Oryzias latipes: one gene and its partners. The protein of the gene in region 1 binds, or shares a complex with, the protein of each later gene. Links are inferred from orthologs where the notes say so. Each region holds a gene or a part of one and is shown in the gene's direction. Other genes may lie near its edges.

Region 1 (10,120 bases):
CCGGGAGACACCTCAGGATGGGCACCATGCTAAGCCGACACAGCGTGCAGGCCCGGCTAAAGAGCCCGGACGGGATGAGCCTGACGGAGTTCACCTACCAGGTGTTCCAGGCCTTCGACTTTCACCACTTGAACCAAACCCGCGGCTGCAGAATTCAGCTGGGGGGCACCGACCAGCTGGGCAACCTGATGTCAGGCCACGAGTACATCCAGAAGTAAATGCTCATACGAATATCTGGAATGTTCTACCATGAGACGTACTAACTCGGGGAAAATGTTGGTTGAAACGCCCTCTGCGCTGGTGATGGGCGATATCACACTTTTCACATTCGATACCAATTACTTTTTGCATAAAATATTCAATACCAATTAGTGGTAATTTCTTATTGGTGTTTTTTTTGTCTTCCCTGAAGCATATTATTAATCCTAAAAACAAATACCATTCAAACTGACCAAGTAACGTAAACATTTGTCCAAAATTGCGTACTCGTGCAGTGTTGTTTATGCTAATGTATACGCTCAACTCGCGGGCTCTCTGGTCACGTGACTGATGGAGCAGCTCATTAAGCTGTGGGGTGGGAGGGGTGTTTCAGCACAAACCCTGGAGCAACTTACCTATTTACTTATATCACATATGTAGTGTTATTTTCTCAAATATTAATTTGTACTTTTATAGAGCAATAAATACCAAAATTGGTGATGTATGGGCATCTATATTTCAATACATGGATATTGATACTCCATCACTATTTACTGGGCCTTCTGCCAAATCAGTCGGGCTGTTTGATTTGTAAACCCCCCCACCAAAAAAAAGTTATTTTCCCACTATCCTTACAAAGGCTGCCCTTTCAATGCCTGTCTGCAAATAAGTTTTTCATGCGGGAAAGATTCAAATTCACAAAGAAAATGTCCGTTTTGTGCAGCCAAACAAGAGAGCCAGGTGAATTGAACAGGTCATTTCCACTTTTTCCCTATTCAAAGTGTTGTCAAAGTCAGCAGGGGACTATTAAGAAGTCTAGATTTATATTAATACTAGAGGAAAAAATCTCTTTATGTGTGTGAAAAAACAATGAGAAGTTCCTTTGTCAGTTTTTTAGACAAGTATACCTTTTTTCATTTTTTGAAGCAGAGCTTTTGACTCTTTATGTCGGACATCTTGTTTAAAAATAAAACGCTTGTTTCTCTGCAGGGTGAGTGGTGAGGACGTGTACGGCCTTACCATACCGCTGGTGACCAACTCAATGGGGGACAAGCTGGGGAAAACGGCAGGGAACGCTGTATGGCTGAACAGAGACAAGACCTCCCCCTTTGAACTTTACCAGTTCTTCCTCAGGCAGCCTGACGCCAACGTGGAGGGGTATGTCCGCATTTGGAGTGCCAGCGTTTACTGATTACTTTTCAGGGTCAAAGCAAAATCTTTTCTTTTTGTTTTTTGTTGTCGCTGTTTTGCAGGTACCTGAAGCTGTTCACCTTCCTGCCTCTGGCAGAAGTGGAGAGTCTGATGAAGCTGCAAAGGGAAGATCCCGGTAAACGACTCGCACACAAGCGGCTGGCTGCAGAAGTGACCAAGCTGGTTCATGGAAAAGAGGGTCTGGAGAGCGCCAAAAGGTCAGGATCAGCGCCCTCTAATTTCATTAAGGGTTTATGGATTTGTGCATTTGGCACCGCTAAATCTGAGGCCATGGTTCTCAGCAGGAGAAAGTTAGTCTCTGGGTGGGTGGAGTGTCCCTGCCCCAGGTGGAGGTGTTTAAATATCTTTGTTGACGAGTGAAGGAAGACCGGAGTGTGAGACAGACGGATCGGAGCAGCTTCTGTAGTTATGCGGTAGCTGTACCAGTCCGTTGTGGTTAAGAGAGAGCTGAGCCGAAAAGCAAAGCTCTCAATTTACCGGTCCATCTTCGTTCCAGTGCTCACCTATGGTCATGAGCTCTGGGCCATGACTGAAAGAGAGAGGTCCTGAATACAAACGGCTTAAATGAACTTCCTTCGTAGAGTGGCTGAACGCTTCCTTAGAGATAGGGCGAGAAACTCTGTAAACCACAGAAAGCTCGCAGTAGAACCGCTTCTCCTCCACATCGAGAGGAGCCAGTTGAGGTGGCTCAGGCATCTAGTCCGGACGCCTCCCTGGGGAGAAACTCTTACTCCAGAAAACAGGCAGCACCATTGTTTGCATCTGTGTGTGTTCTCCATTGCAGGTGTACCAATGCACTGTATCATAGCAGCGTGCGGGCCTTGGAGGAAATGAGCGATGAGGAGCTCCAGGAGCTCTTCAGGGAGGCTCCCTTCCATGAGCTGCTGTTGGAGCCGGGCATCTCCGTCATCGATGCCTGCCGTCTGGTCAGCGCCATCCCTGAAGGTCCCAGAGGGTGAGCTCTACCACTGCCTGGTCGTAAATGTACTGCAGTATTTCAGTTTGCAGCCACTTTACTGATTCCAGGACGAGTTAAGTCATGTGAAAACAGTCTTCGTCTGGGACCATATTTTTAAAAAAAAGCGGAGTGGATTTTAGACGCACATGTGGCACAAGTTTGACTTTTTTTTCTTAAACTGTGGGATGTACGTTTCAATACAACCTCCATGCAGCTGTGCATAAAGATTTTCCTGAGAAGAGTAGGTGCAAACAGACGTCCCCAAAAAAGAGAAGCCAACATAGTGGAGTGGAAAATCGAAGCGCTTCTCACAGAGGAGAGGAACTAGGAAAGATGTTTGCAGGGAGGCCTTAGTTCAGGCTTTAAAAAACAACTGATGTGTAGCCCGTTGCAGCGGAATATCACATCAACTAGTTTCACAAAGCAGTGAGATGTGAAAGTTGATGCAAAAAGAGGATCTTTGACGACAACCTTTCACAAACGAGAGAATTTGCTGACATTGAAGATGCCATCAATAAACTACGGTGGCCCTGAAGTGTAAATCCCACCAACAAATCACTCAACGGAAAAAGATACTAAAGATCACGATGACAATTAAAAAAGCACAACAAATACTAAAAAAGGATTACATTTTAGAAATCAAAACAAATTCTACAAACTAAAACGTAAAAATAAAAAGGAAATGTTAAAAAAATGAAACAAAATATGGAACCTGAAAAGGTAGGTACTATGGGACATCACCGATTGGACGATGATGTTTGAGTTTTAAAGATGAAAAGCATAAGGATGTTTGGCTCAAAACTGCGGTGGAGTTGATTGAGCAACCACTGAACTTTGACTGTGATCAGAAACTCGAAGACAAATCATCTAATGTAGTTTTTGCATTGACTGATTTGTTGATTGGATTTGCTCATCAGGGTCACTGTAATAAACACACGTAACATAAAAAAATAGCTTTAAAATTCAGCAGTGTCCCTCTTTTATTGGCTTTATAGCTCTTGAGTCAATTGCCTGTAATGTGTTGTAGCCCAACTACTGGATTCCCACTCGATCAAAGCATTAAATCTGTTACCAAATGGGGACAAAAACAATCACATTGGTTTGGTGCACATATGTATATTCATGTTTATGCTAAACTTGTTCTGTGGACTTTTCCATTTGCTTTACCATGAAAGTCTCAAAAAGTTGCTTTTTATTATTATTTTTTTCTTTACATACAAACACCAGCGTTTGTGCAAAGATTTGTGTTCACACATTTCCACCAAACCTTTTTTTCCCCTAGATGTTGTCGGAGGAATCAAATCCACTAAATGTTGAAATACACAAAGATTTCTATCCTGCTGCTTTGGGTTTGGTTGAAAACACTTGAAATGAATGGGATTTGGATCCTGACTGAGCCGTCGTGTTCGCTTGCAGGTACCAGATGGTTTCAGACGGAGCCGTGTGGATCAACCACACACGGGCGGACAAACCGGAGCAGGTTCTCGTCCCCAAACTCCACGTCCTGTCCAACGGACTCACTCTGCTCAGAGTGGGCAAGAGGAACTACTACATCATCAAGTGGCTCGGTCTTTGAGGCTGCACCGCCCACCGCAGTGCCTGTACGCCGTAAAGGACTTACAGGCAAGGTAGGCGACTAAAGCAGACTGTAGCGGACTCATAATGGTGACTCTGTAAGTCCATGTGGCCTTTGTTAAAAATGTAATCGTACAGACAACTTTAGTATTTAAAGGTATTAAAAGATTTGTGCTTCCAGAGTTGTGTGTTAGATGAAGCTCTAGGGGGCGCTGTTGGCTTGACAGTGGTTGAGTGAACACTGCTGCACCTCCTATCCTGCTCTGACCCTTTGAGTAAATAATTGCTCACAGCTAAATTAGATTGCATCATTTCTGTCAAAAGGCTTTTGGTTCTATTTAAAGACGACTGCGCCACTTTCAATTTAAGCATCAAGCTGCCCTCTATTCTCATTTAGGGGTGTTTATTTTTTTTTGCATGTGAATAAAAAGTAAAAACTAAGAAGCTTTATGATAAATCTGGAAAAAAACAGTTGACTTTAGGATAGCAGAAATTTATTTTCATCTTTATATGTTATTACTTCATATATAAATATTTTCAGTCAATAATTCCGATATATGTACAGATTTTGTTACGGTAAGAAAATTTTTTAGAATTAAAATGTTTATTAGGCTTTTACTAAATCAGCTCAGTTTGGGGTCCTCTTACTGGACTTTATCTCCATTTAGGACCACAGGTTCATTTATTAGTGTCCATTGAAAGAATATGATGCAACAATTTCAGTTTTGTTTTGGATTTTACTCCATTTTAATTGTATTTATTAATTTTACTGTACATCCAAAATGTTTAAAATAAATACTGAATATGTGTGTTTTAGAACATATTGGCACTATTTGTATGGTTGCAATCCAATTTTTTTCTTCAAATTTAGATGTCTTAAAATGTTTAATCCATTTTACTTTTTGAAACTTGTACATTAAGTTACATCAAATGTGTGAACTTATTTACTTTGTAAAAAAAATAAAAAAGGTAAGTAATATGTTTAGAACAGCATGCCTTATGCAATTATTCGGTCTACCTTAAATAAAGTGGGCGGGTCTAAAGAGCTCCATCCAATGAGTGCGCTTCTTGGGTTTTAAATGGCTCCGTATGTCAATCATGTGTAACCCTCCTCCCCCTCCCTCCAAAGTCAACCTCCCCTCTCAATCCCCACTACATGTCTCAATCGCCATATTGGGTACCGAGAGGTTCGCCTCCGCTTCCCGCTGTACGGAGCGACGTTGACAGCGAGCTTTGGTTCGTTCTCCCGTCGTTTGGATGATTGGCGTAAGCCGTCTTCGGCTCAGGAAATCGCAGCCGTGTTTGCCTCCAGCTCGACGTGCGCATGGTCGTTTCACGCCTGTTTTGGATCTTTCCCCGTGACTAGGAGGACATACCTTTTTTTTCTTTTCTTTTTTCTTCTTGAGGTGTGTTTTTCGCCTGAAAACTGGACGCTCCCGGCTGCTTGAAATTTTTACCTTTTTTCCGGGGGGCTTAACCATGTCTAACGTTCGACTTTCGAGCGGGAGCCCGACTTTGGAGAGGACGGAGCCCCGGGTGTCGGAACACCCGAAGCCGTCAGCCTGCAGGAGCCTCTTCGGCTCGGTGGACCACGAAGAGTTAAAGAGGGATTTAAATGTACATTTGCGGGAGTTTGAAGAGGCTGCCTCCGCCAAGTGGGGCTTCGACTTCGCGACTGACACACCGCTGCCCAACAGCAGGCTGGAGTGGGAGCTGGTGAACGCCAGAGACCTGCCGAGTTTCTACACCCGCCTGCCGCGGCGAGAACGAGGCGTTTGCCCCGGGAATAACAATGTGGATCTAAACGGGAATCATGACTGTGTCGGGACAGTTCCCAGCCGCTCTGACGCTCAGATGGAGTGCACGGAGCAGTGCGGCGGGCTGAGGAAGAGACCTGCGTGTCACGGTATGACATTAGCATCAAACGACCCGTTGCTGTGTAACAGATCGCCGGGCGGCAGCTTTGTGCTCGCGGTACTGGTATGCGGGATGAGGGGGTCGTAAAGCGGGGGAAACTGCCGTAAAATCCCAGAGAACATTGAGCACCCCGACCATTTTTTTCTCTCTGTAATATATAGTTTATTTTACTCATTTATTTATTTTTGCAGACCCTTCGGCCCCAAGTAAGAAGTCTCACACCAGCCCGGAGGAGGTTAGCTGTCCGAGCCTGAGCCAGTCTGCAGAACACACACCCAGAAAGACCAGCCCCAAGAGACCAACGTGAGCACGGCGACACGGTGAGCGAACCACTTCAATTTAAAAAAAACTGTTAACCTCGAATTTAAAAAAAAAAAAAGATATTAAATTTTACATCATTTTTTTTTTTATTTGTATTGACGCATTCTAGCGCAAAAAAGTGAAGTCTGTTTATTAAACCAAGAGGATTTATATGACACGCCAATAAAGAATTTTTAAAAAAAAAAGTTTTTTCCTCCTTGCGGCCGATGTTCGTCTGCTGAACTGTAAACAACAAGCTGAACAACAGTGTAGTAGTAACACGTCAGCAGCCAGTGGCCTCCGCGCGGACGGGAAGGGGCAGGTCTCTGAGCGCGCGCGCGCAGAAACACACGCAGACATGTACACTCCCTGCTGCAGAGGAGAGTACGAGAGTTCTGCAGGTCTACTATGACCCACAAGAGAGAAGGAGCACAGAAACCTGCTCTAAGCTGTCAGGTGTGAACCTTTAAAGGTTGTGGCAAAAAAAGTCAAGGTTAAATTAGCGGAACTTTGACTTCGATTTATCTTTAAGTAAAAAAAAATCCCATGTTCATTTTCGTCTCTTCTTAGTAAAAATAAAAGTTAACAGAACTGAAAAAATTGCACGTTTTTGTAAATGGTATGCAGCCGAGCTTTATTTGAGTTGATAGTTTTGTTTTGTTTTTGGAAATGACTAGTTTCTTCTTTTTTTTCAGTCATACCTCAGAACACTGTCAATACTTTAGCAGTAGTAGTTGCATCTCCTAAAAGAAAAAAAAGTACTAACCTTTCAACCTCTTTGTTTTTGTCTTTTGTTCTGATCTCCAACAGAGCTCAAGATGTGCCCCTCCCAGTTTTTTTTTCTCTGTACGAGTGTGTTTGCGTATGCGTGCATGTGTTTTTTTTTGTTTTTTTGTTTTTAAGACTGCGTTGATCTTTTTTTTTTTTTTTTAATTATTCTTTCCTTTTTTTGGACGAGGATCTACACAGCATCAGAAACATATCAGCTCTCCTGAGGACGGGGGAGGACGCTGTTGAAGCACTGAAGAGAAACACTAAAGTTTGTGGCACTCATTGAAATGTTACTGCCTCTAACAGCAGTCCATGTAGCAGCGTGCAATTAGGTTTGATTTTTTTCTTTTTTTAACTACCTGTGTGTAAATAATTTAATAAATAAATATATATGTTTTCTATGTAGCACATAAAAACATTGATTTTTTTTTTTTTTTAATCCTTTGTGTAAAAGAGGTGTGAATTTTGATTTGACTTGAAGTGTTCGGTTTGAAACATGTTTCCAAAATGCTGTTCTGTTTGCATTTTATTATTATTATTAATATTTTTGAAAGGCACTGTGGTGTTGACCCAGTCCATAAATGCTACATTTAAAAAAAAAGAAAGAAAATCATGGTTTTAGTTTCTCAACAGTGTGCCTTTATGCCGTCATCTTCCTAACTCAACAGCAAGGAATGGTACAAATGTAGCTCATCTGCCTAATGAACGTGTTTTTCTTTTCTTCCCTTTTTTGTGTTGAGGCCACTTTTTCTTTTTTCTTTTTTTTAAAGATCCACAGGAAATGGCACAGGATGAAATTAAAAATTTCAGCAAGTACCTTTTATTTTCCTTTTTTTTTTTTTAATATTTATTTTAAAATTGGAGTTCTGATGCTTTTATTTTGTAAATGTTTCGATCCCCAGAGTTGTGAGGCACTCATTTTTTTTTTGAAGGACAAAGACCATGCACATGTTTCCAGGCTGTCAAACCTAAGTTAAATGTTTCTCCTGTACCAAATACACACTCGCTTTTATTTGGTTTTCAGAGTTGACTTCACATCGTATGACTTTGTGATAACCTTGAATGCTTTTATTTGTTTTCCACCCTTGTTAACCTGCTAAAGATGGAGGTTCCGGCTTCCAAAAGCTTCTTTGTTTCCCCGCTAACATCTGGTTTATCTTCAAAGACAGCAGGCTCCACCTGGATGGAGACACAAAACGGCGCGTCTCACAAACGCAGTCATGTGATCGTGTAAACCTTTACAGTGTACATGCGTACATATTTTTGTAAAAAATAAAATAAAAAAGACACTGAGAAATTATACTAACTTATTTATGTCAAACTTTTTTTTTTTAAATGTAGAGTAATTCTTTTTTTAAGTTACGGTTATCCAAAGTGGCATTTACTTTATAAATTTCTGGGTAGTTTTTTTTTTTTTTTGTCAAAAAGGTTGCAAACTGAGCCTGATAAAATATTTGTTCATTTTGTAATGTGTGGTTATAAAATGTGTTGCAATCAATTAAAAGAGAATTGAATCTGACTTTTTTTTTTGTTCACATTTATGGAAATTTGTTACATTTAAGTACACGGATACCACATTTATTTTTCCTTAAATCTTTTGGAAAAATTCTCACAGATTCAGAGCTAAGAATGCAAAAGATCTGGAAGTAGGAAGTGAGTTTCTTTTTAGTCATTGACATTTTGGCCAACCAATCAGAACCAGCCAAAACTGATGGGGTAACTGCTGCAGACTCCTTCAGTTACCTTATTGGTTAAACATTTGTTCTTAGGAATCATGGTGTGTGTAAGACATCTGCTCTGTACCAGGTTAACATAATCATTTTAACAAACTAAAAGATTCTTTTTTGAATTATTTTTACATTTATTGAAGTGAAATGCGCAATTGTTCAGGCAAAAATATATTTAAGCAGCATATAACATATTTCAATAAGGCATTTGTGGGGCATCCTAGTTTTACAATTATTGACTCAAAAGATGAAAAAAAATTATAATTTGTGCTTGGTAAATAATAAAACAGATGAGGAAATATGTAACCGATGTTTTAGGTACATTTTAAAAGCTTGCTGCATAATAAAAAAACGAAGTTAATGAGCATTTACAGGAGTAAAAACTAATGTTTTGCTCCTTTTTTTTGGTGAAGATTCGTGTGTTTTTAAAAAAATCAATCTTCACACCTTGATGCCTTTCCTCCATCCGCAGATTGCACCTCCACGTGCAAACCTGCCCTGACGTCCCTGCCCCTCTCCCCGTCTCTGACGAGGCACAGCGACGGCAGTAAAATGAATGCCTTCAGAATTTCCCTGCTTCCTCGGGGGCCACCAAAACAGGAAGACACCTGCAGCAGCATTTTATAGCTGGATAACTGAGGAACGGGGGGGGGGGTGTTTGGGTGGGGTGGGTGGAGAATTGTCCTGTCCTGATGCGTGCAGGTGGGTAACCTCAGCTGGGCCGTTCCACCCCCCACCCTGAGCTCAGACCATTGTCCCGGTGTGTGGGCCTTTGTATGGAGGGGCATTGTGAGGGGCCGAAGCCGGCCACTGTTGTGTCTGGAGCTCCTCTGCAGACAAAAGGCGCGTCTATGAGCCCCCACCCAAACAGCAGCCTGACTGACTGACTGACTGACTGACTGGGCTGCTAACTAAACGACTGATGCCTGCTCTGTGGATGTAACTTGTCACATGAATGGTTTGAGCGGAGGATGCTGAGGTGTGAATGTTTCAGTCAATTCACAGCACTCAGTGCATATTACAGTTTCTCTATTTCTCTTTGATGTAAAGACTTTGTTTTTGACAAGTTCTTGTAGCATTTTCCTCACAATGGCGGACATTCTTGCAGACAAATAGATCCATAAATGTCTTTATTTTCCTCGTCTGAGTTGCCATTTGGCACAAAACTGTCCGGCTGGGTAATTTCCAATATTCCTCACCATTTTTGTTGCACCGGTAATGTTAGGTTAGGGGTGTGAGGGGCTGTAAGTTATCAGGAGAGCACATAAACAGATGGATGATGGGAAGGGGAGCTGGCTTACTCCGTTCCAACAGTCCTGCCCAAATCTCACAGGCAGATTTGCAATGAACTCCTATCGTTCTGCAAAATCTGTCCTTAACCCTTGTGCTATCCTATGACCCCACCCTTACATTGACGTGTTCTCCCTACCATGACAAAGGTCGATAAAGGTGGAAAGATTTC
Region 2 (10,002 bases), on another chromosome or scaffold:
CTCCAAAGTCCGGCAGAGTGACGGACTGCAGCCCAAAGCCTCCCCCACGAAGCTACAAGTCCGGCTGCTCTGCTCAGAGACATGCACATGCAATGTGTGAACGCACATGCAGTGGGCAAGTAACCCCCCCACACACACACACACATACAAAATTTGACAACATCCTTTTGTGTTCCCTATCTTCTATTTAGCCATTTTACACAAAAATGCATGAATTTCATAAACTTGTATTACAGGGGGGTCAAAATCAGTCGCACTGGGGGGTTAAATTAAAAACACACTTTAGGTTTTGGGCTGAAGAAGATAAACATTTACTGAACACACTAAAGCTAAACTTTTAAACCTTTTAAACCTTTAATACGGAACTTTTTTTTTTTTTTTTTTTTTTAACTTGTCCTGTCCAACAGCTGGGCAGACAGATGAGAGCTGAGGGCCTCTTGTGTTGGACATATTTTGCTTTAACAAGAGGGGTTATTAATCTTCTGACAAACCAAAGGTATGTCTGAATAAACCCCTTTTGTAATTGAGGCCAAACTTTTTTAATTTCAGTCATGTCTGAAAATCTTTGGTGTTGGACCGGACGGAAAAGGAAAGAGGGGAAGAAGAGAGAGGGACGCTAGAGAGAGGGGGGGGTAGGGGGTGATAATAGGAGGGGAAGGGGGATAAGACCATGAAGCAGCATAAAGCAACAAGTTTACTGGTTGTTAATCATTATGGTAAGGTTCAAATGGAGTACAAAAAGGGCGGGGCCCGTCCACACACACACTCAAATGTTATAAACACACCTGCTAGCTGCAAAAATGTCCACCTGTCGACATGTACACAAAACAGATAGTGTTCACACGCATACTTATGCCTTAAAACCAACTAGTGTAAAATATTTCAGTCATTCAGTCATGCAAGCTATTAGTGCAAAGGTGAGCTAACACCAGTGCTCAGGTGAGGTTTTATGTTCTTCTAAAATGGATGGTGGAACGTGAAAAGAAGGAGGGAGAGTGCCCAGCCATCCCCACCCCAAGACCCCCACCGCAGCAGCAGCGGCAGCCGGAATCCCCCCAACGCCACACGGGAACCGGCAGCGAACAACCGCCGCCCGGGCGACCAAGCCCACCACCCAGGCCAGGGCCAGCAGGGCCGCCGCAAGGCCCCCAGAGCCAGAGGCCAGGGAAGCACGGAGGGAAAGAGAGCGCCGCCCCAGCCCAACCAGGAGAGCAGCCCCCCCGCCGCGCCGGGAGAACCCAACGCAGAGCCCCACCGGAGAAGGACGCCCACAGCCCCAAACGAGCACCCCACCACCACCCAGGAGTTCCGGGCATCCCCCCGCTCCAACCCCAGGTACGAGCCAGGACCCCCCAAGGGAGACCCGCTCCGCACTCCAGGCAGCCATCCGCCCGGCCCACGGTTGGTCCAGGGAGGAGCGAGGCAGGGGGCCCGCCGCCCCCGCCCAGGAGGGGGGAACCCCGGGGAAAAAAAGAGGGCCCACAAGGGGTGTTATAAATATGGCCCGACCAGGCTCGGCCACAGTTGGAAATTTGGCGGGGCCCAGCACTCAGGAGCAAGGACCAGAACCCACCCCCCAGGGACCAGACACCCCCGGCTCAGATGTAATGTGAACTCCCCCACCGCGCGGAGAGAGCACCGCCGGGCCCAGGAAGCCGGCACCCCGGGGACACGGCCGCTGTTGCAAAGGGGCCCGCAACCCCCACCAGGGAAGAGGCAGGGGACAGATGGACCCAGGTCCCACCTTCCTTGCAAAATGTGTGTGCGTGTATGTGTGTTTGAGATGGTGTGTGTGTGCATGTGTGTGTGTTTATGTTGGGATGTATATATTGAGGGGGGAGGGGTGTGTGTACTAAGGGGGGTGCAGTTAAAATTGGCGGGTAGGGCACTAAGGGGACATCTCCTGATTACTCACAGTGAAGTCCCCTCACCCTCCCCAACAAAGGGGCCCTAAATGTCTAAGGTGCGGTTAAAATTGGCGGGTAGGGTGCTAGGAGGACATCCGCTGCTTGCTGGCAGTGATGTCCAAGCACCCCCCCTACCAAAGGCCCTACATGTCTAAGTTGCAAATAAAACCGAAAGAGGGGGGGCCCACTCCATACGGCAACCATAGAAGGGGGGCCACTGCCTAGTAAACCCCCCCCAAGGCTCATCGCAGGCTAAGCCCCCCACCCCCTCACCCTATTATGAGGTTATATGAGGAAGGGGGTAATTTGGGGACAGCTGATAGACTGTCCCCCGGTGGTCAAACAGCTGTCCCCCGCCCCCCCCCCCGCCCCCCAGCAAGGGGGCCAGGCCCACCCAGCCCAGGGGCCCCACCCCCGGAGGCGCCGACACCCCAGGCCCAGCACCACCCCCCCCCACACAGAGAGAGAGGAGCCAGAAAGCGCCGGCCCCCCCCGGAGCAAGCCCAGGCCCCCACCCCCAAACGCCGGCCCTAGAAGAGCTCTGGTCAGGCCTCGACGGGACCGAGGCAGCCAACCGGCCGGAACTTTTTTAACATAAATATAAATAAAAACAGACAGAGACATTAATCCAGAATAACTCAAGTTAAAGCTTCAATAACGTATCATATTTTGCTCTCCAAAAAAATATATTCTGTCAAAATTATACAAATATGAACATGCTGTAGAACAAAAGAAACAAAGCCTGGAAATATTAATAATAAGAAATTACAAATCAAAAAATTCCGTTTTCTTTGCTCTTTTATCATTTTTTAGAGCTGGACTCCTGCATCATTTTAGCAATAATTTCTTGGTGTGTGACGTCCTGTGTGTGTCTTTATGAAACATATCAGAGGGATTGGATAAAAAAAAACTTATTGTGAATATTATTTTTAGGTCTTATAAAACATTAAAAAAACTAAATCATAGAACTCATCAGTGGGATTACTCCAAAAATATTTGGCTTTTCCCTAATTTTGTGCAACACCAACAGTAGAAATCCTCAATAAACCTCAATCCATTAGTTTATTTATGATCTCATAAAGTGCACCTGTTCTCCTGCTGTCTTTATGTCAAATACTGACACCAACTAAATGACAGAAAAGACACGTAATAAAAATATCTACAATAGTTGGTAAATAATGACATTATTAACATGAGCTGCTGAGTGATCCATCAGCATGTGATGATCCAGGTGTTAAGGTGGGCTGCGCTCCTCGCAGCCTGCGCCCACCACCCCTCCCCTTGCTTCTGACACACGTCTCTATGACAGGAGCGCGCAGCTGCGGCCTAGAGTTGATTGTTAGAGTGAAAAAGACACCAAATCACCTATGTTAGTGTGATTCACCCAGCCACCGGTGAGTTGCACCCCCCTCTCAAATTTTTTGACTTGTTAGGTTCCAAAACCTACCGCAAAGAGGTGTGGGCGCAAGTGTCTTGCAGCGGAGGGCGGCGGTCACGTGCACGTTGGGTCTGCTGTGTCGGAGCAGGGAATTGTGGGAAATAATCCCCATTGCCTGCTCTGATCGAAATTGGGTTGAGCACGGGTTTTTCTTCTGCGTAATTCCTTTTCATGTGGATGTTTTACGTTGTTTCACTCTTAGTTATTAACCATAAGTGTGGAGAGGGGAGAGGATTAACAAATAGGTGCAACGGTCTCTGTCAGACGTGTCAAAATAAAAGCGTAAAGTGTTGACTGCTGCAGGCATGTCAAAAGAAAAGCTGAAAGACTCCTCTTTGACTTAGGTATTCCCTTTTGTGTAACATTGCCGGCACAGAAAATGCTGCTCCTATGAAGTGCCTGGGCCACCGCCCACCTCGCCCATATCAAAAACCGCCACTGCGCACACGAGTGCACAACAGTACGAGCACAATTGAATAATCTAATACGAGCGCAAGGAGTACTAATCTACATTCAAAGTTAGGCCCAAAACATTCCTTTTTGGACAGGCTCATTGCCAGACAAGCTAGTAATCAGAGAATATTAAACTTACATGTTTAAATTAAACTTAACAATAACAATTAGTTTTTAGTTGGCTGCTAGAAGTTTGAAGCTGGGTAAACTATGGTGCGTTGTGGTTCTTTCCTTTATTCTTGTCATCTCCTCTCCATCTCTCCTCTATTCTTGATCCTTATTAATCATTTAGTTCTCCATGCCTCTGTTTGGTGCAGTGCGATTCATGTACTCTCCCTTTTGCTTCCAGATACCAGTTGGCTCATCCCTGCTCCTGTACCTGACCAAGTACCTCGTCTGGGGCTTGCCTCTACTACTGCTCCTACACTTGGCTGTGCATCCTGTCTCCGGCTCGTCTCGTGCCCCCATCCGCCCCCCAACTCAATCTGGATGAAACTCATCTGCTGGACTTTAAATATGTAGTTGTTGGGTTTGGTAAGCTCATCCTTCTCTAAGAGGTCTGGTACATCGCCTGTCTGTCCTGGGGGAGGATCCCTCGTTCATGTTGGCACCCCAGAGGTTTCTTCTTTTTCAAATCAGTTTTTCCTTACTGCGCAGGAGTGTCTAAGGGCAGAGATGCCTAGCTTAGTTTAGTCTGTTTAGTTAGCTCAGTTTAGTATTTTCCTATTAAATCCCATGTACTCATGAACCTTTTGATTTTATGTTTACCTTATTATTACCTGTACGAAGCCCATTGAGATGACTGTTGTTGTGATTTTGGGCTATACAAATAAAATTGAATTGAATTAAATTAATCCGTGCGCACGGTTTATCAGATTTTAATTCTTTTTTAATCCCTGGCACCTGGAGGGCTCCGTATCCCTACGACCCCGTGAATATTTACAGTTTGTTAACAGGGATAATTTCGTATTCAAGACAAGCAAGAGTTGCATTCAAAACAAAGACTAATCCTGTTCAAAACAGACACGTCAAATTATATGTGGTATTCATATTTTTTTATTTGAAGTTGTGCACAAAGTATTAGTTTTGTATTTATACACGTGTTTTGTATTGACAGTTATCTTACCCAATACTCGCCCATCTTGTTTTCTACTTCACAAATAAAACATTTTCTGAACAGCATATTTTTCTCTGTTCATTAATCACAAAGATGTGAATAAAGAAATACTCAGAAGTACAATTTTTAGCCTAATTTAAAATAAAAATATCCTCCATCAGAATTTATTTTTTAATTTTTTATCGAAATGAGGTCATTAAAAGGTTTTCTTATGTGGCTAGAGAGTAGAAAAAACGAATTAAACTTGAATGCCACATCGTCCGCAAAAAACGTAGGACGTGACGTGACAGACGTCTGGAACGTCATGACGTCAGTTGAAAGAGGGCGCCTCGCTGCTGGCGGCGAGTTTAAAGAGTCCCGACTGGAAAGAGCGGCATCCATCCCCGCAGTTTAAGGCGCCAGAGAAGATGTCCAGCGACAGGTACGGACTTCACAGCTGCTACGTTTAGCTAAGAGACTGCTTCGCTATCAAACACATTTACAATCCTTTCTGTTATTTAGACTTTTGAAATGTTTTCGCGCGTGCATCTCCCATCACCGTTGACATACTAGCCTAGGTCGCTCAGATCGCTCGTGTTAATCATCTTTCGGCATTTCTCGGATGCTGATCGCGGTTGTTTTTGTGGAGAAATCTGCTAACATCATGTTGTTGTTTAGTGAGTCGCTGATCCAAAGAGATCTGCCTGAAAACTCAAGCTGATGACCGATACCGCGCTTTTCTCCACGCAGGCCTCCACTCTTTTCATGATTAACTTTATTCATTGGGGTCATCTGTGGCTGAAATTCCATTTTCCATTTCAAACCCCCAGCAGTGCTGCATCTGTGCATTTTGGAAGATAAATGACGGCGCGTTTGTTTGAAAATTTGCGCGGTCCCGTCGCTTGTTGTTGTGTCCACGTCAAATATGGCGGGCGCGCACAGATCCCCGTCTTGAAGGAGCTGGTGAATCTGTTCCTGCAGGTTTTCTGGTTCAGATCCACGCAGCACTGACTCATCCGAAGGCTCGAACTCTATCGTTTCCAACTGTCTCTTCTCCATCCAGCATGCCCTTGCGGGATCTGCCACGCGCGGGCCTCCAAAGCCACGCGCTGTCTCAGTCCGCCAGGCTGCACAACAAGCGCAAGTCCAGAGGCCACCTGAGCCAAGGCCTGGACACCGAGTGCACCCCAACAGAGCTCATCCAGCAGTGGTCCCCCCCACAGAAGCACCAGAGAACCGCCTGCAAGGGCAAGGAGAACGACCAGCACACGTTTGTCCTCGCCAGGAGACCCAGGAGAAAGAAAGACTTCAGAGGAGGTGATCAGGCTGCTGCTCAGAGGGCTGCAGGGCTGGGATGTCAGCTGTCTCACTCTGTTCTCCTTCAATCCTACAGGCATTTCATGGGATCATCTGCCAGACGAGCTGCTGCTCAGGATCTACTTCTACCTTCCTCTTCAGGACCTCCTTCGAGTCTCTTTAGTCTGTAAACGCTGGCATCGTTTGGCGTGAGTCTCTGTCACTGAATGTCACACAAATATGCAGTCCAGTTTCATTTTCTATTTTAGCCCCAGTTTCAACATGCAGATTTATTTGGTTTTTCAGAATTTTCACTCTTTTTTTTAAATTACCCACTCTGATGAAAATGCCGTTTTTGACATGTTCTCGAGCCATTTTTCAGATGACGGAGGACATGAATGAAGAAAATCAAGCTTAAAAATGCATTTCTGAGTATTTCTTTAGTCAAACTGTTGTAAATAAGGAGCAGACAAAAAAATGCAGTTGGAAAAAGATCGTATTTGTGACGCACTGCAGGCGAGCCAGAAGCTCCCTGTTCCGCTCCATTCTTGATGCATTCGAATGGATCCATGTACGTCTTTCTGTTCTTTGTCCGAGCGAGCCGGCATCTGCCTCAAAACTGTATGGCTCGATAGCTTTAGTGTTGCTCGGCGCCAACAGTCCCGCCCACAATTCAGAGGTGAATTTCGAATGAACTCCTGCTGTCCTTTTGTTTTGCCTAAAAGCAGCATAATCCTGATCAAAGACCCCTCAGGATGCTTAGAAAATAGATCGGAGTGGGTTTTTAACTTAAAATAGGTTTTGAGATTCTGATGAACATGAAAGACTTCAGTACTACAGATGTTCAGTCTGCCACACAGTTTTCATTAGCTTCAACCCCAGAAGCGCCTCTTTGTGTGTGATGATTGTTTGCCGGTGTGAGAGCACTCTGCTTGTGTTTTCATCAGGTTTGACGAGTCTCTGTGGCAGAGCGTGGATCTGCAGGGTCTGACCAACATGGGTCCAGCTCTGCAGCAGGTGCTGAGGACCGGAGTCCGCCGCCTGCGCTGCCCGCGCGCCTTCGTCGAGGAGCAGCAGTTTGCAGGAACAGAGTGAGCTTTGCAGATGGTTGGACCTAGGCCTGCACAATAAATGGCAAATTTATTGCTTGCTATTATCATCGCAACATGGATCACTGATACTGCAAATTGCACGTTTTCCTCATATCATGCAGCCCCAGTTGGACCACAACCATCTGGTCCAGTTTTTTTTTTTTTTTTTGCAGACCTGTTTTCCAAGCACTATCCTCACTTTTTAGATGCTCAAGCTGAGCGATTAGACACGAAGACACACCAGTGAGCCACAGACGCCTTCCTTCACTGCAGGACCTTTTCTCTTTTTGTCCAGACCTCTGCAGCTGCTGGACATGGACCTGTCCAGTTCCATCATCCCCATTTCAGCTCTTGAGAGCATCACCTGCCGCTGTCTCCGCCTGGAGCGATTGAGCCTGGAGGGTCTGCAGCTCTCAGACAACATCATCAGGTGAACAAATGGTTGTAGTTTGGTTTATATCCACCATGCTTCAGAGTCGAGCTTCTCTTCAAGGCCTCCGGGTGCTACTTTGCCGTTCACGGTTGGTTTGGTCATCAGACTCATGTCAAACTCTTTGTTGCAGGAGTCTTGGGAACAACGTCGGCCTGCAGCAGCTGAACCTGAGCGGCTGCTCCGGCTTCTCTGCTTCTGTTCTGGCTGACATGCTCAAGTCCTGCTGCAGGTCAGTGAACGCCTCTAAAAAAACGCACAAAACTTAAAAATAAAGTAAACTAATTCATGTATGTGATGAGTTGATTTTGCATGCTATATTAGTGTTGTCATTGTGTCCTCGTGGGTTTTGTTTTGCAGGATAGAGCAGCTAAACATTTCATGGTGCGGCTTCAACAAGGACCACGTGAAAAGTGTTGTTAGTAATGTCAGCCCCAGAGTCGTCAGCCTGAACATCAGCGGGTACAGAGAGAGCCTCACGTTAGACGGTAAGCCGTGGAAACCTGATTCCATAGGAAGGGGACTCCTCCATCAGTTCTACATCAGAAGTGCCTTCGAGGAGAAATTCGACTGACGGTTGATCACACTGGTTTTTACAACAGCAAAGCTGTTTGAGGCTTTGTTTGCTTAACCAACCAATCCAGAGGATGGAAACAGAAATCAGACAACACAAGCTGTTATAGCTTAGTCACAACTGCCCTCACGGGTCTATATGGAGCATGTGGGGGGGCCCGCACATAACGTCAAGGTTGTAGATCACCCAGTGAGCCCATAGCCCATCTTCAAATCCTCCAGTCTGCACATAAAGCCTGTTAGTGCTGTTCAAATGATTAATGCTGTTATAGTTTAGTGTTTTCCTTTTTAATCGGATCTGATTTCCACAAAGTCTGTAATCAGGACCCCTGTTAGTAAAGTTCTTTCTTTATTTTTACATTTAAACTCAAGGTGATAATGCATACAGGGGGAAATGGAAGTGTGACCAAACTCTATGCATTACATTTTTTTAGTTTTATTTTCAATTTTCTTTTCCTGCAATGCCAAGTGTGATAGTTTCTGGGAATAATCATGAAATCTTTTTGCTGTCACTGATGGGAATGGCGTGCGTGTTTTACAGATGTAAAGATCCTGGTTGACAGATGTCCTGAAGTTCAACACCTGGATTTGAGGTACCGTCCCGCTCCAGCCCAGAGAAACAGAAACACCAGATGCGTTCATTCAGAACTGCTCTTCATTAAAGTCCCACTCCGATCATCTATTGTAAAAGGGTTCCCAGTTGTCTTTTAAGTACGCTTATGCTGTTTTTAGCAACAATCAAAAGCCTGTGTGGTTCTCTAGGACACAGAGCAGTTATATAGAAATCCACCTCTGAGTTGTGGATGGATTTGTTGGTGCTTAATTATCTTTATATATCTCCATCATGAGAAAAATCCCACAAAAACATTTTAAAAACACAGTTTTTAATTGGAGTGGGTCTTTAAGTAAAGGGTTCTCCTCAGATGAACTGGATTCCTAAGTTCTGTCTCTATCAGAATTTCACTAAGTCTTTGTGTTTCAGTGACAGCACCCTGCTGATGGCTGACAGCTTCCTGGTTCTCAAACAGCTGAAGGATCTGCAGCACCTGTCCCTGAGTCGCTGCTATCACATTCACCTGGCTGCTCTCACGTAAGTCCTCACCTGGAGCTGCAGGGTGGATCTTCAGCGTCCTCCGTCCTAATGAATCATTGCAATGAGAGAGGATTGGACCACAATGGACCATGCTCATTAAACATGAACCAGGATATTCAGTTGGTCCTTCTTTTCAGTCACCTGTAGGTGGTAAAATTAAGTCTTTTTTAAAATTTGATTGGGATTAAATGTAATCGTCACAGTAAGCCGTAAGGCTGTAGCTTTGTCTCTTTACAGTTCAGTAACCCCTGACTCATCATTCTTTAGATGCATATAGGATCATGTGCTCTGTTCTTTGTTTAAATATAAGCTCTTTGCAGAAAAAGGGTGGAAATGTGTAAATGCTGATTGTTGGCTGAAAAGTGAAAATCTGGTTGGTTTGAACAAATTGAAGTTCTGCAGACTCAACTTTCTGTGTTCTTCCTGCAGGGATCTGGGACAGACGCTGCCCTCTCTGCGCCTGCTGGACGTCTTCGGCCTCGTGCAGGACAACCAGCTGCCGTCTCTGAAGAAGGAGATGCCTCACGTCAGCATCAACTCCATGCCTTTCTCTAGTGTGGCTCGCCCTACGCCCGCCAGCAAACTCCCGGGGTCCCACGGCGACCGCAGCATGTGGAACAGGAAG
Region 3 (10,082 bases), on another chromosome or scaffold:
GTTATTACTGGCAGCATTTAGGGGGAACCCTGCCTTTACCCAACAGTAGCTCCGAAAGGCTCCAGCACCCCTGCGACCCTGAAAGGGATGAAGTGGTTTTGGAAACTGGAGGGATGGAAGCAGTTGAAGTCAGTTTTGGTTCCTTTCAGAGCGGAGCTGGAACAGCTGCAGGGGAAAGTCCTGCAGGGACGTGAGCAGTACCAGCAGACCACTCAGTCCAGCACAGCCGTCTCTGCTGTGCCCGTGTTCAGCATCAATGACAAGTTCACTCTCTGCCAGGACGATGCGAGCTACAGCCTCACTCTGGAGGTCCAGACTGCCATCGATAATCTGCTGCTTCAGGTAAACCGAAAATCAGGTCCTCAGTTGAAACTGATCCCGTAGAAAAACCCTTCAGAATGTAACTTTCAGTTTGCTCCCAGAGTGATGTTCCCATTGATCTGCTGGATGTGGATAAGAACTCGGCCGTTGTCAGTTTCAGTGAATGTGACCCTGAGGTGAGCTAAATGGAGCTGTTTGCAGAAAGGCCAAGGCTTTCTGCTCAAAGAAAGCCACCGATCTGCCTTAATGTTCAGACTCTTCTAACTCCTTTTGCAGCAACCCAACGGTAACTTTCTCCTGGCCACATACAGATGTCAGGCCAACACCACCAGACTGGAACTGAAGGTATGCAGTAGATGGAACTGTGACATCAGCAGAGCTTGCCGATTCCTGTGGGAGTATGTTACATTACATGAACCGTAAACATCTGTTTCGATCAAACTACTTGACCAAAACTAGTTGTGTTGGTTCATAGACTGGTTCTTCTTAGCTGAACATCCCTGTGCAGTATGCTGAAACATGCGTTTCATTGTTCCTGTGTTATCATGGTTGTTTTCCAAGGTGAGGTCTATTGAGGGACAGTATGGGACCCTGCAGGCTTACATAACCCCCAGGCTGCAACCCAAGACCTGTCAGGTTCGCCAGTACCAGATCAAGCCTCTGTCCCTCCACCAACGCACCCACAGCATCGACCCAGCCAGGTGACTGACTGTCTGTGATGAGAGTTTCTGAGAAGAAATAGCCCAATCAAAGTATGCCGAGTGAATTCTAACTTATGGAGGGGTTTTTCAGGCCAATAGTCATAACCATCTATGTTACTACCACCGTACAGTAGTTCTGGGCTGTGTTCAAACCTCAGTGCAGACCTTAATAAGGTCAGCCAGTGCTGCTGTCACTCAGTGACCTTCTGTCTTGTTTTCTGTCTGTTTGTCTTCTTCAGACCCATGAACCGTCTTAGCCTGGTGGGGCAGTTCAGTTTTGCAGAGATCCACTCCTGGGTGGTTTTCTGTTTGCCAGAGGTGCCAGAAAAAACACCTGCTGAAGACGACATCACTTTCTATTTTCGCAATACTTTTCTGGGCACACAGCTTGAAGCCACCTACTGGTAAATGCAGCCGTGTGGTAAAAACGCCCAAGTTCCAGTCAATGTATGAAGGAAGAAAATTCTGCTTTACAATCCGGCTTCAAATATTTTGATGTGGATTTTTTTTACATGCGACATACATTCCTCCTGAGCTTCATCTTTAAACGTAGCATCTGTGGTGTAAATAATTTGTTGTTTCAGCAAAGGCGAAGGTCACTTCCAGTCCGACAACATCTCTACTATTTCTATTCTAAGTGATGTTCTCTCTAAAGAAGCAACCAAAAAGAAAATCAATCTCAACATTTCTTATGGTTGGTGCCTCACTTCTGCGTTCACATATGCTTTTGTTTGCATGTAAAGACAAGAAAAGAATTTCAAAGATGCATTTCTCTTTCAGATATCAATGATGACTCGGTGAGCCACACTCTCAGAATGATTCATCCAAAGTTGGAGTACCAGCTGCTGTTGGCTAAAAAGGTCCAGCTTGTTGATGCTCTGAGAGTAAGCAGGCTGTTGTGTTCATCTGCACACATGAAGGAAAGATTCATTTCAGATGTCACTGACAGCCGAGAACTGCAGTACATCTGCAACTACAGTGGAGGAAAAACGGACTTGATCCTTTGCTGATTATGTAGGTTTGCCCACTTTGAAATGGAGTGACAGATGGAAGCTTCATTTAAACAGAGAGAGATGGAAAATAAGCGAGAAATGCACTTTAAAGAATGTATATAATTGTATTTGAAATAGGCAAAATAATATATCACAATGGGATATATAGCTCCTACAATGAAGGATGTCTTATTCCTATTTTCTGCTGAATTGAAATTAAAATCAGGAAACCAGCGACTCTTCTCTGTGAAGGTTTGATGTTTGGTGATGTACTTGAGGTTCTGTACATTCACTTCACCCACATCTCTTCTGGAATTGTCAGGAGCTTCAGGTTCATGAGGGAAACGCCAGTTTTCTCATACCAGAGTATCGAAGCATCTTGGATGAATCTGCCAGTCTTCTGGAGGAATACAAGAAGCAGCCAGCACATCTGGAGAGGCTTTATGGTACATTGCAGAAGCCACATTTATCTTAATTTCTGTTGGTCTCCTGACACTAATTTCTATTTCTTTATATTTGTTTTTCCTGCAGGAATGATCACTGACCTCTTCATTGATAAATTCAAGTTCAAAGGCCAGAATGTGAAAACAAAGGTGTCATCTCTGTTGGAGATTCTGGATAACTATGATCTAAACTCTCTGTTAGAATTTTTCAATGATGTTTGAGGTTGGATGAAATAAAATCCATTCACGTGTTCTGCTTCTATGTTGCATCTTTATGTAATGACAGTTATAGTTTGTGTCATGGTGCCATGCTGTTTTCAGAAGCTGTCGGTTTCACAATCCACAATTATTTCTGCTTAAATCCAGACTTTATAAATTCCTCCAGGTAGTTAATACAGACTCCTCTTTTTCATTTAATAACATATCACAGGTTCATAGACAGAAATCAAAGCTAAACGGACTGCATTTCTATATGAAAATCTCTGTGAGAAACTATTTAAAAATGAAATAGTCAAAAGATGTCATATGATTTTTTAAAGATCAGACCATATTAAACTATGTAGAAATGTTTTGTGGTGTTTTTCATTGCCTGTTCAATCCCCACAACACATGACTGAACACATCTTCAGTGACGTGCTTTGTTCTTCTTTATTTTTATTATAATGGCCATTAAACCCTTAAACAGAGAATCCAGTGTATTATATTTGGAGAACCTTTTCCTTTAAATGAATCCTTACTAACTGCAGGTCAAATAAGCTCATAAGCACTTGAAATCTGACAACACTTCAGAAAGTGTCGTTTTATTTTAGTTTTTGTAAATAAACACGCTCAGAAGAGTCTGCAGACGGTTAAAATCCACGGACGTCGTCCTGACTGCCGTCTGCTTGAGCAGGGACGTTTCCTTTCGTTTGCTGCTCTGTGCCGCTGCAGACAAACGGGTCCAACCGGTTTTGAATTTGCAATCAAGACATTTGTACCACTGCGGCTCCAGTAGTTTTGCAGCGTCACCATCTGTGCGCTTTGTGATTGGTTGGTTCAATCCTCGCGGGCTACTTGAACTGAGAGAAAGCAGAACCCTGTTCCTAAATGTCTGCTTGCTAGTGGTTCGTGTCCTGGTCGGTTGTGCTGTGGACCCGCGTGACTATGGAACCGTAGTGTGTTTGTGTCCCGCGCTTTGGAATCGCTCTACCGCTCACGCGCTCCTCTGCTGTGGCGCTGCTGTTCTGTTTTTTCGTTGCCATCTCAACTGTTTAGTTTTGAGTTTATTCGGCTCCACTTCAGGCTAGCACCCGACCCGATCCCCGCTACGAACGACGAGGGGTCCCGAAGAGTTCAAAGGTCAAAGCCAGCAGCGAGTGTTTGTTGCAGGAAACATGTCGGCGGCAAACCGAAGCGCGGCGAGTGAGCTCCAAAACCAGGAGAACATGCCGTCCAGCAGGCTGAGAGGCGCCATCAAAGCCCGGCCTGCAGCCAGCGAAAACCTTCCGCCCAAACAGGCTGCCAACAGAACCGTGCTGGGAGCTCTGCAGAACCACCAGCGGAACAAAACCCAAAGCCTCCGCGGCGCAAAGCAGGTAGCATGCCGCCGCACGGCCCGCTCCGCGGCGGGGCGCCAGCCGCCGGTTATCCGGCTGTGCTCCCGGTTCCTCACGGCTGTGGCTCGGTTCTAGCACCGTGATAACAGTCATTCGCCTTTAGCATCTGAACCTGTCTTAGATCTGCTTCTGGAGATGGTCTTTGTAGTTTCATGTTCAGTCTGTGCGCCATTTTAGCCTCACTCCTCCTAGTTTACCTTACAGACTGTTCTGTCTTCTGAAGCAGATCTGCTGCTGTTTGCCTTCAGAGCAGAAACTCACCTTTCTTGTGTTCTGTTGCCTCCAGGACTCTGCTCTACCCTCATCCTGTAAAGCTGACGATTATGGGAAAAGCGTCCTGGAAAAGCCGCCTGTCAAGCAGCCGGCCTTCCAGATCCACATGGATGAGCCTGATGGCGCCTGCACCAAGAAGACCGTGTCTGAGGCCCTCAGAGCCAGGGCCCCGGCCCCTCGCTCTCCTGTGGCCGTCCACAACGCCCTGACATGCCGACAGCCCCTGGCTGCCCTCGATGTCCCGTTGGTTGTGGAAGCCGGCTTTGGTGGGCTGCTGTAGAATCTTGGCTTGTTTAGTAATGACCGATGTTGGCTTTGGTGTCAAAGTGAGGTGTCATCATCTGTGCACTAAATGACTTTCAGATTCTCCCATGGACATGTCGTTGGTGGAGGTGGACGACAAACAAGTTAATGTCAACGAAGTCCCAGAATATGCAGCTGAAATTCATTTGTACCTGAGGGAGATGGAGGTGAGAGACTCTCCTTTTCCTTTCTTCCCCTCCTGTCATCTCTGCTACAACAATCGGGTATTTGTTTCAGGTGAAAACCAGACCGAAGGCCGGCTACATGAAGAAGCAGCCTGACATCACAAACAGCATGAGGGCCATCCTGGTGGACTGGTTGGTGGAGGTTGGAGAAGAGTACAAGCTCCACAATGAAACGCTGTATCTGGCCGTTAACTACATTGATCGCTTCCTCTCGTCGATGTCCGTCCTGAGGGGCAAACTCCAGCTTGTTGGGACTGCTGCCATGCTGCTGGCTGCGTATGTGCCAATTATCCTGCCCAGGAAAACACGACTAGTTTGGTTCGGAAAGGTTGAATGACTTTGTATGTGCAGGAAATTCGAAGAGATTTACCCTCCTGAGGTGGCAGAGTTCGTCTACATCACAGATGACACGTACACCAAGAAGCAGGTGTTGAGGATGGAGCATCTGGTGCTCAAAGTCCTGTCATTTGATCTGGCAGCACCAACGATAAACCAGTTTCTTACTCAGTACTTCTGCCACCACGGCGTCAACAAACAGGTGGAAAGCTTGGCAATGGTGAGTGTTCATGTGGTCCGTCGTGTTGGTCTACAGAAGCATATGGATGTGCTCTGACGGTGCTTGATCTGTCCTCAGTACCTCGGGGAGTTGAGTTTGATAGATTCAGACCCCTTCTTGAAGTACCTGCCATCGCAGACGGCGGCTGCAGCCTACATCCTCGCCAACCATGCAGTGACCGGCGGCTCTTGGGTGAGACTATTTCCCTCCAACTTAAGTTAGGAATGTGAAGGGTTATACGCTTGAATGTTTTGGTTTGAGATGCTTTATGGGGACGTGGGGCTGTTTGTCACATGCCAGGCTGAGGCTCATGGTGGTTGTGGAAATGTAAAATTGGTTCACTGACATTTTCTCTGCTCTGCTCCAGCCCAAATCCTTGGCAGAGATGACGGGCTACATGCTAGTAGACCTGATGCCGTGCATCGAAGACCTTCACAAGATGTTCCTGAGCGCCGCTCAGCACGCCCAGCAGTCTGTCCGCGAGAAGTACAAGGCCTCCAGGTGAGCTGCCGTACTTTGATTTTGTGTACTTCTATTTAAGGATCGTTGGAAAATATTTGTATTACTCTAAAAAAGTATCAGAGGAATCTGACAATTTCTGAGAGCTCAACTAGCAGTAAAAACTTCCCAACCACATTTTTTTTTTTTTACAATAAGTAACCTTAAATTCAATTAAATGATGGCTAAAAATGTGTCTTTAGTTGTACCGCGAGATTAGAGGTGTTAAGATGATCGGATAATTCTGAAAAGTTGCATGGAAACAAAAGGCGGCTCCAGACTCCAGCATCTTCACTGTTGATGGTAAACTCCTTGGCCTGTTACTCACTTCAGTGACACTGCAGGGAGGAACATGGTTTCAGAAATGTGTAGCATTTGTCCTCTAAGCTGAGAATGTTGTAAAAATCCTCAGTCGTGTAATCAGAATGCAGATTCCTGAAGGCTGGCAGTCCTCCAGGAGACGCTGTCGTACTCTGACGTTGTCTTTTCTCCACAGATACTCTGAAGTCTCCACGATCGCTGCTCCCTCCAAGCTGCTGCTGAAGTGACCTGCTTGTTGTTGATGTATTGTTAGTCTTTTTAATCATTTTTTGTAAATGACGTACCAGTTTTAGACGGCATGTTCTGCTCTTTTTGGAGTGGTGCTCCTTTTTTCTTTTTTCCTTAAAGAGGTTTTAATATTTTTATATTTCTAGTCTCAGCATTTATGCCATGTGCATCCAGTTGTGTAATCAATGGCTTTTAGTGTCGGTCTGTCCTCATTCAGTGCTGCTTTAATCTGCAAATGTTCAGCCTTTGTAGAAGCCGGGCAGTTTCCTTCATCTTAGACTGCCTGATGTGATGCAGATTAAAGGCTGACTCCATGATCTGTGTCCCGTTTCATCCACTGGCTTCCTGCACTGTAGACCATGGCTCTTATAAATAAACTTCTTTTTGAAGACTATCCGTTTGTACACATGAGGGCAGTAAAGAACCGCTGCTGGTTTAATCTGGTTTCAGAGAACTGTTCTGGTTTAACTTTGCTGGGGAGGAGCTCAGAATGCACAGGGCTACACTTTAAGGGTTTGTCTCCTCCTCCAGCTGTGTCTGACATCCAGCCTTCAGTTTTTCGCTGAAACCAAATTAGGGTTTATTTATACAATATAAACATCTGGGCTCTACTGACTTGCTAGTAAAGCTGATACTACTCTAGATGCATGTTGGATGGGGAGGGAATAAAGCCGTCTGGTTCTTTCCACATCAACATCTTTAGATTATTTTGGGGAAACAAAGGTGCAACCCTGAACATGACCAGTAAATTCTCTCAGTATGGAGTGCAAAGGATGAATGGGAATCTAAGGAACCAGCACTGGCATTTTCCACCTGGCTATTTGATTTATTGCTGAGGGGAAAACTCCAGGCAGCCAATGGGAAAGGAGCCCCCCCCCCCTTACTGAACATGGAGGCTGGCTTTGTGACTGGAGGCTGGCAGAGGGAGAAGCAGACCAGCTGCTGGAAAGCTTTTCCTGCTCAAAGAATGGCCGGTTAAGAAGCCAACAGGTTCTCCTTCCTGCTGGAGGCTCGTTCTGGTGATGGGGATGTAACCAGGATCCTGAATGGACTTTAACGGCAAAGCCAGCAGGATGGATGCCTGCACAGAGCTACCAGCAGCTACATCACATCGGTCCAACCCTCTGGGGAAGTGCGAATAAAGACTTGAAGGCTGGCCAAAGCAGGCTGAAACGCATGCCTGCCCCCAAAAAATTTCTGGTGGCGTCCACCTCGCTGCCTCTGGCTCTGGGCTGGGGCTGGAACCTGAGCCTGTACCTGGGGATGCTCTTGGGACTTCTGATCCTGCTGGTGCTTCTGCTCTGGATGCTTTTAAAACAGCTCAGAAACTCTCTGGCAAAGTCGGTGCTGCAGCCCGTGCGCTCCGTGAGGCAACCTCACTCTGACCGGAGGCTGCAGCGTGTGTTGTGAGAGACGGACAAATGTGCCAATCCCTGCCAGCACCGGGGCTGGTCGCAGGGCTTGAATGTGCCTTTGCCGATCAATGTAAGACAAAGTGCTTTTGTTGCCTCCAAAAATCCAAGCTTGTATCTTCACTGCCTTTTCTTTTTACTGCTCTGTGTGCCTAAAGTATAAACCATGTTTGTTGGGGAGTATGGAACTGTCTCCCAGCTCTTTTTCTTGCAAAAATAAAGCTAATCTTGAGAAAAAGCAATCTCTTTTCATCTCAGCAATGAATTCACACAAACAACCTTTGCTGTCAATGTAAAAGCGCAAGCCGGCGTCAAATCTGCATCTGCATTCATGGTGATTAAAGCAATGCATCAAGTGGGCAATTTGCACTCCTCTCATCTCATTGGTGAATTGGCCGGTGACAGTTTTCTGCTAATGACATTAATGAACGCCTCTCTGTCATTAGCTTTTTAGAATCCTGAGTATGTCAGCGGACAGGCTGAGCGCCACCCTCCAGGGGAAGCAACAACATCAACAGCCGATGCTGTGCCATGTCCAGGTGCATTTGATGCAAATTCCATTCTAACATATTCTAGCTCAGCTCTTTCACTCCAAAGTGGAGGAACACATTTTTTGATTTCAAAGTCTGTAGAGAATCGGTGCTAAAGGAAATAATCTGATTTTTCCAGCTGTATTTCTTCCAAACTAGGATTTTCTTTGAATTTGCAGATATTCAATGTTTCTTTGAGTGAAGCCCAACCACGTCATATTTCACTATGACATGGTGAAATATGATTAGGCATTTGTGTTGTAGCATGAACAAAGGGAAACATGTTAGCTGCACTGAAATAGTTGAAATAGTTCTCACACTGATTCTGAGCATTCCCCTAATCCAAGTCTTGGTGGGAAAACAAAAATGTTCATAACCCCCCAGGATTTTAATGGTCTGCCTACAAACACTTCATCTGGAACTCCTCAGGGTTTCTTCTTCCACAGGTTCACACTTTGGTTATTTCAAGCCAACAACAGTCTGCTTATCTGCTGCCTTCAGCACCAAACTTGCAGATTAAAGAAGCCTGGCAGCGTCTGCAGATCTCATGCACGCTTGTTTTCCTCCAGCTTCGCTCTTCTTGCAAAATGCTTCCTGACACTACATGAGTATCAGCAGCCTCACAAACCTCCCCAATGAAAAACGCTGGACTGTTGATTTAAAGCTGCTGAATATTTTATGGATGATTCCAGACATGAAATGTACTGCAGCAGTGCTCATGCTGCCTGATTTGTTCTGATGAAAGGAAAAACAGACGGAAGACAAACACATACAATTGAAAGCATCAATGAAATTCTGAATTTGCTGAGTAACCTTTGCCTTGATGGGTTTTGGAGTAAAGTTCTGCTTGAGAGGAGGTCAAACCTTTCAAACTGATGTAAGACACAAAGATGGCGTCAGTTTGAAACGTAAGCTTTGTTCTGCTCGTGGCTGTGAAATTTGTCCTCCACCATTGAGCCATCCCCTGGGGGAGCGGCGAGCTGCAGACACAGCCGAGCTCGGGAACCATTTGGTGGTAAAACAAGCAACTCTTTAACCCTTGTGCTATCCTAGGCATGTTAACATTGGGAGTGGGGTCATCTAGATCTTGATCTTCACTGGTGTCCATGGATTACATGAAATCCTCTCCACCTTTATCCACCTTTGTCATGGTAGGGAGAACACCTCAATGGTCATCTTGCCCCCGTAGGATAGCACAAGGATTACATGCAAACAGCCAAAAGTTCAGGAGGCAAAAACTGGCCACAACTCCACAAATAAGGGCCACAGGCAGAAGTTGATCCAGAATGGAGTGCTGCTCTCCAACAGTAGAATAGGAATTGTGAACACGACACTGCTGCAGCAACAATTCCATGACATTCCCCTTTCAGTTTCTCCTTTTTAAAACCAAATGTCTTTAAAAAAAACTCTTATTGCAGTTAGAGTGAAAAAGCAGAGCGTATCATTTTTCCTGCAGAGTTAATAAAGAGATTTGCGGTCCCTCTCCAGAGTTTGAGCTTCGTGTGAGTCACATAGAAGAAAATCAGTCATTTACTGTACCAAAGCAGATGCGACTGGATCATAGGATGTGAAAACAACAAACAGTTTCTGGCCTTAATTAAGACATCTGAAATGATTTAAGATCCATATACTCAAAAGCATTTCCATCCTAGTTGGGAACAACTGATGCCTGAGTGTTCAGCGGTTTTTACACTAACATGAGACATTGTTCACAGATTTCTTTG

Evidence for each region.
Region 2: the proteins of cdkn1b (region 1) and skp2 are in contact, whole or in part, in a crystal structure (PDB 2AST), measured with the Homo sapiens proteins. The link is inferred for Oryzias latipes from reciprocal best matches to the Homo sapiens genes CDKN1B and SKP2. Residues at the interface, in NP_004055.1 of Homo sapiens: Ala181, Gly182, Ser183, Glu185; in NP_005974.2 of Homo sapiens: Arg294, Asp319, Val321, Arg344, Tyr346, Asp347, Gly369.
Region 3: the proteins of cdkn1b (region 1) and ccna2 are in contact, whole or in part, in a crystal structure (PDB 1JSU), measured with the Homo sapiens proteins. The link is inferred for Oryzias latipes from reciprocal best matches to the Homo sapiens genes CDKN1B and CCNA2. Residues at the interface, in NP_004055.1 of Homo sapiens: Lys25, Pro26, Ser27, Ala28, Cys29, Arg30, Asn31, Leu32, Phe33, Gly34, Val36, His38, Leu41, Thr42, Asp44, Leu45, Glu46, His48, Cys49, Asp51; in NP_001228.2 of Homo sapiens: Met210, Ile213, Leu214, Asp216, Trp217, Glu220, Val221, Glu224, Met246, Arg250, Gly251, Lys252, Leu253, Gln254, Leu255, Tyr280, Ile281, Thr282, Asp283, Thr285, Tyr286, Thr287, Gln290, Arg293, Met294, His296, Leu297, Lys300.

Annotation. Positions count from the first base shown.
Region 1 is NC_019864.2:11,432,516-11,442,635, forward strand, and holds cdkn1b (cyclin-dependent kinase inhibitor 1B), read left to right. Parts: upstream 1-5,101; 5' UTR 5,102-5,422; coding exon 5,423-5,849; intron 5,850-6,051; coding exon 6,052-6,167; 3' UTR 6,168-6,180; intron 6,181-6,970; 3' UTR 6,971-8,450; downstream 8,451-10,120. Other genes in the region: yars2 (tyrosine--tRNA ligase, mitochondrial), read left to right, coding at 1-214, 1,189-1,356, 1,452-1,607, 2,195-2,365, 3,785-3,944. UniProt on the Homo sapiens protein: Important regulator of cell cycle progression. Inhibits the kinase activity of CDK2 bound to cyclin A, but has little inhibitory activity on CDK2 bound to SPDYA. Involved in G1 arrest. Potent inhibitor of cyclin E- and cyclin A-CDK2 complexes.
Region 2 is NC_019870.2:24,273,517-24,283,518, reverse strand, and holds the start of skp2 (S-phase kinase-associated protein 2), read left to right. Parts: upstream 1-5,216; 5' UTR 5,217-5,322; coding exon 5,323-5,336; intron 5,337-5,957; coding exon 5,958-6,211; intron 6,212-6,287; coding exon 6,288-6,399; intron 6,400-7,137; coding exon 7,138-7,281; intron 7,282-7,576; coding exon 7,577-7,711; intron 7,712-7,844; coding exon 7,845-7,943; intron 7,944-8,071; coding exon 8,072-8,199; intron 8,200-8,825; coding exon 8,826-8,877; intron 8,878-9,266; coding exon 9,267-9,374; intron 9,375-9,806; coding exon 9,807-10,002. UniProt on the Homo sapiens protein: Substrate recognition component of a SCF (SKP1-CUL1-F-box protein) E3 ubiquitin-protein ligase complex which mediates the ubiquitination and subsequent proteasomal degradation of target proteins involved in cell cycle progression, signal transduction and transcription.
Region 3 is NC_019868.2:205,555-215,636, forward strand, and holds ccna2 (cyclin-A2), read left to right. Parts: upstream 1-3,462; 5' UTR 3,463-3,830; coding exon 3,831-4,031; intron 4,032-4,338; coding exon 4,339-4,591; intron 4,592-4,688; coding exon 4,689-4,795; intron 4,796-4,865; coding exon 4,866-5,089; intron 5,090-5,164; coding exon 5,165-5,369; intron 5,370-5,447; coding exon 5,448-5,561; intron 5,562-5,736; coding exon 5,737-5,870; intron 5,871-6,363; coding exon 6,364-6,415; 3' UTR 6,416-6,810; downstream 6,811-10,082. Other genes in the region: bbs7 (Bardet-Biedl syndrome 7 protein), read left to right, coding at 150-342, 423-497, 598-666, 883-1,022, 1,262-1,426, 1,607-1,716, 1,803-1,906, 2,337-2,460 and 1 more. UniProt on the Homo sapiens protein: Cyclin which controls both the G1/S and the G2/M transition phases of the cell cycle. Functions through the formation of specific serine/threonine protein kinase holoenzyme complexes with the cyclin-dependent protein kinases CDK1 or CDK2.